Linked DNA regions of Schizosaccharomyces pombe. The gene in region 1 interacts genetically with each later gene. Each region holds a gene or a part of one and is shown on either strand. Other genes may lie near its edges.

Region 1 (7,563 bases):
GCAGAGATTGATTATCCCTTATTGGAAGAGTACGATTTTCGTAATGACAACATCAATCCAGATCTTCCTATAGACCTTAAGCCAAGCACTCAAATTCGTCCATACCAAGAAAAGAGTCTTAGTAAAATGTTTGGAAATGGTAGAGCTCGAAGTGGAATTATTGTATTACCATGTGGAGCTGGTAAAACCTTGGTTGGTATCACAGCGGCTTGTACTATCAAAAAATCAGTAATCGTGCTTTGCACCAGTTCTGTTTCGGTAATGCAATGGCGTCAACAATTTTTACAGTGGAGCAACATCAAGCCTGATCACATTGCGGTTTTTACTGCTGATCACAAAGAACGGTTTCACAGCGAAGCAGGTGTGGTTGTCTCCACGTACTCAATGGTTGCCAATACCAGGAATAGATCCTATGATTCTCAAAAAATGATGGATTTTCTTACGGGACGTGAATGGGGGTTTATCCTATTAGACGAAGTACATGTGGTTCCTGCTGCCATGTTTCGGCGAGTTGTCACCACAATTGCCGCTCACACAAAGCTTGGGTTAACTGCTACGTTAGTTCGTGAGGATGATAAAATTGATGATTTAAATTTTTTGATTGGGCCTAAAATGTACGAAGCAAATTGGATGGATTTGGCACAAAAAGGTCACATCGCTAAGGTTCAATGCGCCGAAGTTTGGTGCGCGATGACCACTGAGTTTTATAATGAATATCTTCGAGAAAACTCCCGAAAAAGAATGCTACTTTATATCATGAATCCTAAAAAATTTCAGGCTTGTCAATTCCTCATCGATTATCACGAAAAACGTGGTGATAAAATTATCGTTTTTTCAGACAATGTCTATGCTTTGCGTGCTTATGCAATAAAATTAGGCAAATATTTTATTTATGGTGGAACTCCACAGCAGGAAAGAATGAGGATTTTGGAAAATTTCCAGTATAATGAACTTGTAAATACCATTTTCCTTTCTAAAGTTGGTGATACGTCTATTGATCTTCCTGAAGCAACCTGTTTGATTCAGATTTCTTCTCATTATGGTTCTAGGCGTCAAGAAGCTCAACGTTTGGGGCGTATTCTTCGTGCCAAGCGACGAAATGATGAAGGCTTTAACGCATTTTTCTATAGCTTGGTATCTAAAGACACTCAGGAAATGTATTATTCCAGTAAACGGCAAGCATTTTTAATTGACCAAGGCTATGCTTTTAAAGTCATCACTAATTTAAAGGGTATGGAGAACTTGCCAAATTTGGCTTACGCCTCCAAAGCGGAGAGACTTGAGCTTTTGCAGGAAGTATTGCTACAAAATGAAGAAGCAGCTGATTTGGATGACGGTGAGGATACTAGCTTTGGATCCAGAAGTCTCTCTAGAGCACCGGCGAAAGCTAAACGTTCTAGTGGTTCTTTAAGTACATTGGCTGGTGCCGACAATATGGCATACGTGGAATATAACAAGAGTGCTAATAAACAGCTGAAAAAGGACAGTAAAGAACATCATGCCTTATTTCGGAAGCACCTGTATACTAAACGTCGCTAGCGAAGTTATACATGCTAGCATACACACGATATAGACATGAATTTTGTTGATTTTTCTACGCTAAAATTTTTGATAATAATGCTTTCGTTAAGTTTTAATATGAAATTATGATTTCCCTAATTCCCTTGTAAATTCTAATTTGTGATTGGCAATATTGCCAAATCATCATCATTTTCTTTATCTTCTTCATCGTTGCTTCCGCTGCTAAGCGATTGTCGTTCATTGTTAGACGACCACTCAGTTGACAGACGGCGAATTAAACCCTTCAAATCGCATCTCATCGTGTTAATCTTTTGAAGGTTCCACTGTTGGTCGAAGTTTTTAGCATCCGTCCGTCTAAGAGATTTATCTAAAGTATTGGCTATCACTTGCTCAGGAGTTTCAAGAAATAGTTCGACGAAATGTAACGCATATATACCACAATCAGAAAAATTGCTTTGTTGCGGGACTTTTGCATGAAACCCCCGTATATCAGTGGACTTAAGATGTACATTTTTCCTTTCGAAAGCTTCTTCCAGTAAATATTCACGTAAGTAATTTAATGCTCCTTTATGAAGATTTGCTAAAGAATCAAAAATCAAAATTGCTGGACTATAATTAACTTAGTAAACTGAATCAAATGATTTATGATATATTTTTCCTTTTAATCAATAAAATTGTAAACCTTTAACATACCTATTGCTCGTTAATTCTGCTTGTCTAGTCTTTGAAGCAGACGGTTGTTCCACAGACGACATAACTATTTCATCCTGCTCTTCCAGTTTTGTGTCCACAGGCATTAATCGATCAATGTTGCAGATAATAGCTAGATACCAATGAAATGTTTCATTGATAGGAACAATAATGTATTTTTTATGGAAAAGGTCAACTTTTTGAGTCCACTTTCGAACTCCTCTATGACCTAGCCGCTTGCTATATTACCCATTAGTGATCAAATAATTGATAGAAGTAAAGCCTGTTACATACCCATCTTTATCTTTTGAAGTAAGACGATTATAGAAAAATGTGTTAAAAATATGAGTGTCATTGGCCAAAGAAGGATTTTGTGTTTGTAATTTACAGTATAAATATCTAAATTTTTGAGGTTAAAAGAAGCGAAGATTCCAAAAAAAAAAAAAAAAAAAAAAAAAAAAAACTTACCTCAAATAAAAATCAACAATAGTATCGTTTAAAAATTCTCCCTCATTGAGTCTTGTAAGGTCGGTATTAGTAATGGCAATTGAATTTGTTCCAGAAAACGGATATACGAGAATAGTGGTACAAGATGCATCAGACAGAAGTGTTTTATCAGAACCTTGAGAACATAAAGTTGAAAAGTCATTGGAAGTGTTTCCAGCAGAACTTGATGACTGATTTTGCTCTTGAGCTCCGTTATTTGCCGTTGGACGCTCTGACGATGACTGGTTCGAATTTTTAATCCTGGAAAGAAGAGAGTCACCAGAATTGGAATTAAATGGAGTTGGCGAGGATGGAAGGGAATGTTTAGGCATTTTTGAGGAATGTGGAGACGAGGTCTGTTTAACAATTGACCTTACAGTTTTCTGGGGAGTGCGAGGGATGATCGTGGATTGTTTTAAAGTCAATAATTGTTTAAATTCTTTAGCCGAACTAGGAGATGTTAAAGAAAAGTCAGATTGGTCCAAAAGATCAAGGCCAGCTCTAGCGGATTCTACATGTAATGGGTTGTATAAAAATAATAAACTGGCAGAATCACCTATCGTAATTCTTTTCATATCTCTATTTTTTAAGGTTAAATGAATAGCATGTACTGGAGATTCCACCAAATTGTCTCTCCATCCTTGAAGCCAGCAACACCGCTTCAACAATTGGACAGGGATGTGAATGACTGGAATGCTAGTATCTGTGTAAGAAACATTTATTTCATGGGTAGTAAATTTTAAACACCCAGGCCTAGGATCGTAAAAACCTCCATAACCCCCTTTTGTGAAAGGCAGCTCGACCACATCAATTGTTTTCTTTTTTCGTGCTAAACAAAGTAGCCAAAAAGAGGCAAAAATAAGTTAGTTTTTATTTTAAAAAATCAATTATTGATACTGAAGAAGAGGAATTGTTCTAAACATTTTGCATTTCCTCATGCTTTACACATGGATCAGAGCAAAAAAGTTGCGACTTACGAGAAACCACTGTAACATTTTGAAAAGAGCGTTTTAAGTGCTTAGGAGGTGTTTGATCATCATCTATCTGCTTCCGCCTTGGTGAATCCTTCTGTATAGCAGTTCGAACCGTTGGCTTTTCCGGGGATGTTACACTATTCGCTAGCCTTTCTAGCGGGCTCTTAATAGGAATAGCATCATTTGGGCTAGTACCTCTAGATTGTAAAAATATTAATATAGGAATGTGAATTAAAAGACGAGGTAAAGTCAAACCTTTGTTTTCCAAACGGGGGAAGAAGACTAGTGAATGACCCTGATTTATCATCCAGCTAAAAAATAGTTAGTAAGAAAAAGAAACGAAAAAGAATAACATACGGCATCTTTGGAATCTCTCATTCTTCATGACATACCTGTTTTGGCGAGATAGAGAAGCCTACTACTTAATCAATGGCACAGGTTTTGTGAGCCACAGCGCGTCCAAATAAAACATAAGGATTCATTATTTTGCGGTAGATGATCTGGGTAAAACAATGTAAATAAAGGGTATCAACCAATGCAAAGGATGTAAGTATCTCTAACAGTGTCTTTAACTCAATGTAAATGAATAAAAAACGAAAGGCATAGTTGCTTTTTAAGCTGATTTCTTCCTAACCTTTGATTAATCATATTACGATTGTTTTGATTTTTTAATAACGAATAGCGAACAAAATGTTGCTGTTAACTTCCAAGAAAATGATTTTTTGTAAACTATTCTAAATTCTTTTTATTGACTAGAATATATTTTACAGATCGTTTATTTAAACTTGTATTTATCTCTGATTTACGAATGCATTAGATACATTAGTCAATTGCAACCATAGTCGCATTAAAATCAATGTAAATTATAAAAAAAAATAACAACAATACATTAAGAACAAGTAAGAGCATGGGACATTCACGCATGAAAACCTGTTTGACCTTTGTATAATATCATGAAGAAGTATAATAATACCAATATTACTTGAATATTTATTATATGATATCATAGTAAAGAAAGTTAGTTTTGAACGATTTCCTTTCTAAACTATGTTTGGGACTAGATCATTTAAAACCACCAAATTATTTTGATAATTAAGAAGAAAAACTTCTGCTTTTATTTTTCGAAGGTTTACTATTTGTTATTAGTATGCTGATGATTCTGGGTTTATACTCATTTTCATAAACAATTTTGTAAATGATTAAAAGAAGAAAAATTTGTAAAATTGTTTTAAGAGTATTTATTAAGACTAATACTCTAATTTATATTCCCAGAACGCTATCGATACTTGCCTTTTGCGATACAGCATATTCCACACTGTCAACACTCAACGTAGCAACAGCCTACTCTGCAGCTGAGCATAAAACTACTCACATATCGTAAGTGAATTTGTTTTGATACATTGGAATTAAAAGTTATATTAAATTTTTGAAGATTAACCTTACTTTATAGAAAATGCGCGTAATTACTCTAAGCGGCATAACACTATTTTTGCTCGCCAGCTTAGCTTCGGCTATTGAGTTAACATTCAAGTTAGAAAACCAAGAGAAGCAGTGTTACTACTTAGATTCTTTTCACACTGGCGAAAAAACACATTTCACGTACGCTGTTCAGTCTGGCGGTTCTTTTGATGTCGATTATATGATCAAGGCACCATCTCAGAAGACCGTTGCACTTGGCAAAAAGAGAAGACAGGCTGATGTATTTTTCACCCTCGAAGAAAAGGGTGAATATGAATTCTGTTTTGATAATCATATGTCTACGTTTACTGATAAAATTGTGACTATGGAAATCACTATGGAAAATGAACTTTCTCTTCCTGCATTAACCCGTGATGAAGCCAAAGACTACAAAAAGGACAGCATGCAAAGTACTGTTTTAGAGATCTCAACCGCATTATCTGAAATTGACCGTGTACAAAATTACTTCAAAACTCGGGAGCATCGTAATTATTCTACTGTAAAGTCTACTCAAGCCCGCATCTTTTGGTTTAGTCTTGCTGAATCTATAATGGTTGTCGCTCTTTCTGCTCTTCAAGTCTTTATTGTAAAGACATTCTTTAAACGATCTGGTCGGAGAGGTGTATAAACTGACTAGTCGGTCACCTTTCTAACAATATTCATATCTGTCATGCCTATGTATGCCTTTAATCAGTCTTAACGAAGCTTATAGCTCTATTGTTTTATTCAGGATTATATTATTATGCCAGGATTTAAATAAGACAATCGACATGCGTCTTTATTAAATCAAGGATTACAATTTCTTGTAGTTGAAGTATTTTCCACTAAGCAATATTATTATTTCCTTCATTGCATTTTACAACTGTATTCGTGTTTCATACAAATTTAAGCAACCTATCAACGAAATAAAGAAAAAATGTGCTTAATGAGTATTTAAGTATAAAAAATTGTATACTATGAAAAAAAAAGAATGGGTAGGGTTAGCGGCCATAAATGAAGGATTAGACTGCTAAAAGGGCATAAAAATGAAATGAAAGCCGTTAAACTATTTGAAGTTCATAAGAAAGGTTTTAATATAAACCGAGCAGAACAACTGTACAACCAAAGTGAAAAGGGCAAAAAAGGGGAATAGAAATGAATAAAAAACGTAAACGGAGAAGACGCAAAAGCTCATGTAATAAAACTTTGAAGGTCGAAAAAATAATTTGCAGTCGTTTGACGTTATAATAAATGAAACTCAAGATCCTTTGTACTTGCAACTCACGTTTCAATAATGCGTAAAGTTAATAAAGTGATTCACTCATTTTCATTCATATTTACATCAGAAGCTGACCCAGAATCGCTATTATCTCTCTCTAAATCACTCTCTGTACCACTGCTTTCAAGTTCATCTCTTTTCAAGGGCTTAGCCATAGCAAAATAATGTTTCTTTCGAAGTTCGTTGAAGTCCGGTTTCTTTTTAGGAATGTTCTCTTCAGCTTCAGATAAAGCCTCCTCTTCCATTGCTTCGTCTTCTCCTAGAATTACTCCTTCATTATACATTTTATCAGCATGATCAGAATCTTTACCTAGGTTATTCACAGAAGGATGAGTACGTAAATGGTCGTCAGGATTATTAATTCTGGCATGAACTACTTCAACTTGGGGTTTTGTTTCCCTCGGAAATAGTTCTTTTTTACTTGGTAAATGATTATCTGTAGAGTACTTTGGTGTTGGAGCCTTCATACGGACGGTGTACCTATCACCCGAAGTAGTCGGTTCAGTACAAGGAACCGGGAAAGGTTCCTTTTTGACATAAAATTGTTTCTTGTCGCTCGAAAAGGAGACATTGTCATCTTTAGAATCTTTTGACACCCGGGTACTGGGAAGAGTGCCGAGTGTGTCACCCAAAGTTCCAGCAGTAAAGTCGTCCTTACTGTCAGTTTCATCCAAATTGATTTCAGGAACTTCATCATCTGGAAGCAAAAAGCGTTGAAAAGGAGTTTTCGGTTCGGTAATTTTCATTTTCGCTGACTTCTGCTGTTCAGCTTTTGAAAGATTTTCCTCATCCCAACGAAGACGACGAATTCTTTCTTCCGATGGAGTTCCTGTGCCCGAGCAATCACTCTCATTCATATCAATTGAAGGTGTTGATGAGACCATATTTTGTTGTTGGCCACTTTCCATTGAGTCAGTCTCAAGTGAGGGAGAACTCATACGACTATGTTTAAGAATTGATTTAACCTTCATCGTTATCTATTTCTGTGCGTTTTGGATACGAGAAAATGATATCCTTGATTTGAAGATGTAAAAGTTGGTGGAGGATCAGTTGACGCATGTACCTACTACAATCACATCTCATACGAGAACATTCCTTTACCAACAACAACCTGTATATTAAGTGATAGTATATCATAAAAATGACTGATGATTCTGTCCCTCCTCCATCGTATGA
Region 2 (3,600 bases), on another chromosome or scaffold:
AGCCTCGTCAATTGTAGCCAAATCACCAAGACGTCCAAAGAAACCATTTAAATTATCAGATTCATGAAGTCTTTGAAGACTTTCTAACACATTTCCACGAGATCTAGAAGAACTTAAAGAAGCTTTCATCTCCTCCAACTTTGTTCTGTTTGACATAAGATTTCGGTAAGTATTGTGAACAGTTTCCTTCTTTCTTTCAATGTTCTTACTAACATCTTTCTTCTCTCCTTTTAGGTCGGAAAGCACTTTAAGCTTAGAAGACAGGATATTCCGATTTTCTTCTGCATCATTACGCAGTTTATCAAGCGAAGATTGAGAGGACTCAACATCGTTAATTAGATCATTTTCTTTATTTAATAACATATCCAACTCAACCTGTAAAATTTGTTTTTCTGATGTCAATTGGTTTATTTTCTCGAGGGCGGGAGCCATAGCCTTTTGCTTTTCTTCAATAGCATTTGAAATACCTTCCGTTTTTCCCTGTAGACTTTTCCTAATGTCATCCAAACTCAATTCTTCCTGTTGAAGTCTTAAACTGAGATCGGCAATTTCAGAATTCAACTTTTGGGAATCAATATCATGAGAGCTTAAAGAATTTTCTGCTTCTGATTTTTCGAATGAAAGAGCCTCAATGGATTTCTTTAACTTTTTTTCTTTATTAAGTAAAAATTTTAACTGCTCTTCAATCTTCACAGTCTGTTGTTCATAAGACTGGCGAGTTTTCTTCTCTGAAGTACAATCGTTTTTTACTTTTGCTGCCTTTTCACGCAATGATTTAACCTCTTCATTTTTTTCCGAAATATCTCGCTCGGTTTGTTCAAATTTCTCTAAATGTGCTTGTAATTTTCCTTCCAAACTATTAAGCAAGTTTTGAACTAACGTCTTTTTATTGCGTGTTTCGTATAGAATAGTACGGTAAAGCTGATTCTGTTTCATAAACAACTCATTTTCGTCTTTGAGAAAAGAAAGAACCGAATTTTTGCTATCTTCTAATTTCGCCTTTTCAGAGAGCACCAGTTTTAAACGAGATTCTTTCTCAGCACAGATATCATCAGAATTCGAAAGTTCTTGCATATTCTCTTCTATAATTGGCTTATATTTCGAGGTTCCGATGATATCTTCAAGATATTCAAGAAGACCATCATCACCTTCTGATATAGCCCGGGGCTTCATTTGCGCTATTGATTCGACTTCTCCTTGAAGAATTAAAAATCTCTTATGATTCAAGTCTATTCCTTTCTCCTTTAAAAGATTAGAAACTGCAGAAAAGGAACTCTCAACCCCATTTACAAAGTATTTACTAGTATTATTTTTATAAGCAGTACGACGAACTGTTAGTTCGCTTCCATCAACATAAGTAAAGTCAGAGTTTACCTCTTTAAAAGTAATTTCGACATCACAACTATCGAGAGAAGGATGAGTTGCAGATTTATGAATTAAGGCAGACGCTTTGGATTGCCTAAGTTTACTAGCACGAAAACCGAAAACAAAAAGTAAAGCATCGATAACATTAGATTTCCCAGAGCCATTTGGTCCAACAATTGAAGAAAAAGAAGGATGAAACGGACCCACTATCTGAGTTCCTGCATATGATTTAAAATTTGTTAGGCGTAGCTCGTAAACAACCAGTCTAGGAGGAAGAACCTGAGTGGTTTCTTCACAATTCTCAATATCCTCTGTAGTAGTAAATTCTGACACAAGTTGTGAACTCCGTTCATTGAAACCTGTTGATTTAGATGGAGTGCCATCTTGAGCAGACATAAATTTGTTGAGCAAATTAGGGCGTTCGTTTAAAGAATCGGTAATTCTTTTTTTTAAAAAGTCATTGAAAAATGGGCGAGATGGTGTTTGCTCTATCTTGACAATTGATGCGACATCTTTCTGAGAAGGAGATTCTAGCACTGAGCGAACCAACTTTCGTGGCCTTTCACCACGATCTGGCGTAACATCCACAATCGAGGGTGTTGAAGACGTTCGAAAGATGCCCTTGTCAGACATAAAGATAGTATCTTCAACAAATTATATATTACTTAAAATTCTAAAAGAGTGGGTGGTCGTGAAAAGAGGTGTGTTGTTTACAACGGTTGAACAGCATTTCACCCAACGATGAAGTCAATTAATGAATAAAATATACAAAAACCCACAGTTAAATTACACTAAAGCCCATGTTTATAAACTAAAGACTGAAGTATAATTGTGTAAACAGGTCATGTTAGATGAAAATGATCTATTTATTTTATACCTACACACCTGATTTAAAGGAAGACTTCAAACATCTTTTTACCTGTAATTATAAACTCATGTGTCTATTATACATTAAATTATTATGCTAGTCAATTTGGTATTCTTGGACGTTGAAAGTTAACTCAAAACGAAAATTAAGTAAAAGAGAATATTGCTCTGACACTTTACACTAGCAAAATATTAAAAGGACGAGCAGAATACATTGCTGTTTCTAAGTTTTTACTAGCACAAGCAAACATCCTCTTTCAATTCACACAATAAATATAAAGCTCAAAGATTTTTTGTTCTGTATTCCTTCATTAAATCTAGCAAGACGACGCAAAAATTTACCTTGTTTGGGTAGCCCTATGTGTGAAATAACCACGAATAAAGAATAATCAGTAAGTAATATAAATAGATTAGCTCTTTAAATGAAATGTTAATGCAAGGAAACGATTTGTCCAAGTTTTTTAGAACAACTTTTCAAATTCACTATTGTTTTGTATTTTTTTAGCTTTAAACTTGACAAGCCTTTTGCCATATGTTAATTTAACCCAAAATTCTTACATTTTGATTTAAACTAATCAAACGCAAATTCATATCTTCAAGCAATTGCAAGTAATTTATCTTTAAAACATTTAAATCTGTAAACATAGATTATTATATGCTATCTATGCTCACTTGATAACTTAGCTAAACTCTTCCTTCTTTATTTATTTATTTATTTTTTAAACAAAAACTAACAAGTCCTCTTAGTTTTTATTTATTTACGTTAAGTTTCTTTTTTTTAGTAAATAATTCCAAACTTAAAAAAAATTTTATAGTGATAAAACCTAGCAATGGACTTTATAATAATGATACTTTAGTTAATTTTTTTGTTGTTATTTGGTTATATCTCTATCACTAAACTACATATTTATTAACTATTAACTATACTTATAATTAAAACTCTTCTGAGTCTTAAAATAAAAAGCATATAGAATTGATATAAAAGATATTTAATATCTAAAAAAAAAATTAAAGGGTTGGCAATACATTTATCTAAATCAATTTGGTAATGCATTGGATCATCCAGCAGCCTGTTCCATCTTACTACTTTAAAAGTTTTTCTGTTAATTAGCATTAGATATAACGATGCACTCGCTCTGTATAACCCAGGAGGTTAGTTTTGTTTACCATCAATTCCTTCTCGTTATTGCAACATAGCGATGCCGCATATCAGATCAAAAAAGCCGCGTGAGTTTCTGTCCTTGCAGTTCTCCTTTACAATTAATTTGGTAGATGAAGGTGTTCTTACGGGGAAAACGAAGTAGCTAAATACTATAAAACATGATCCTTAATAGAAGAATTCAGGTGATTCTCCCTACCCTACTAATC

What was found. Genes that interact genetically often act in the same process or in processes that back each other up.
Region 2: mutations in ulp2 (region 1) and cut3 are lethal when combined (synthetic lethality), as found in Schizosaccharomyces pombe (2 studies listed by BioGRID, with this or other methods).

Annotation. Positions count from the first base shown.
Region 1 is NC_003424.3:1,762,663-1,770,225, forward strand, and holds ulp2 (SUMO deconjugating cysteine peptidase Ulp2), read right to left. Parts: upstream 4,072-7,563; 5' UTR 4,050-4,071; coding exon 4,029-4,049; exon of another isoform or gene 3,983-4,028; coding exon 3,927-3,982; exon of another isoform or gene 3,869-3,926; coding exon 3,675-3,868; exon of another isoform or gene 3,594-3,674; intron 3,527-3,593; coding exon 2,680-3,526; intron 2,611-2,679; coding exon 2,506-2,610; intron 2,505-2,505; exon of another isoform or gene 2,452-2,504; coding exon 2,215-2,451; intron 2,131-2,214; coding exon 1,674-2,130; 3' UTR 1,571-1,673; downstream 1-1,570. Other genes in the region: transcription factor TFIIH complex ERCC-3 subunit Ptr8, read left to right, coding at 1-1,539; erp2 (COPII-coated vesicle-associated protein Erp2/3/4), read left to right, coding at 5,125-5,757; protein phosphatase regulatory subunit Glc8, read right to left, coding at 6,426-7,358; protein hua1, read left to right, coding at 7,529-7,563.
Region 2 is NC_003423.3:1,004,466-1,008,065, forward strand, and holds the start of cut3 (condensin complex SMC subunit Smc4), read right to left. Parts: upstream 2,059-3,600; 5' UTR 1,999-2,058; coding exon 1-1,998. Other genes in the region: erv2 (sulfhydryl oxidase), read left to right, coding at 3,553-3,600. UniProt on the Schizosaccharomyces pombe protein: Central component of the condensin complex, a complex required for conversion of interphase chromatin into mitotic-like condense chromosomes.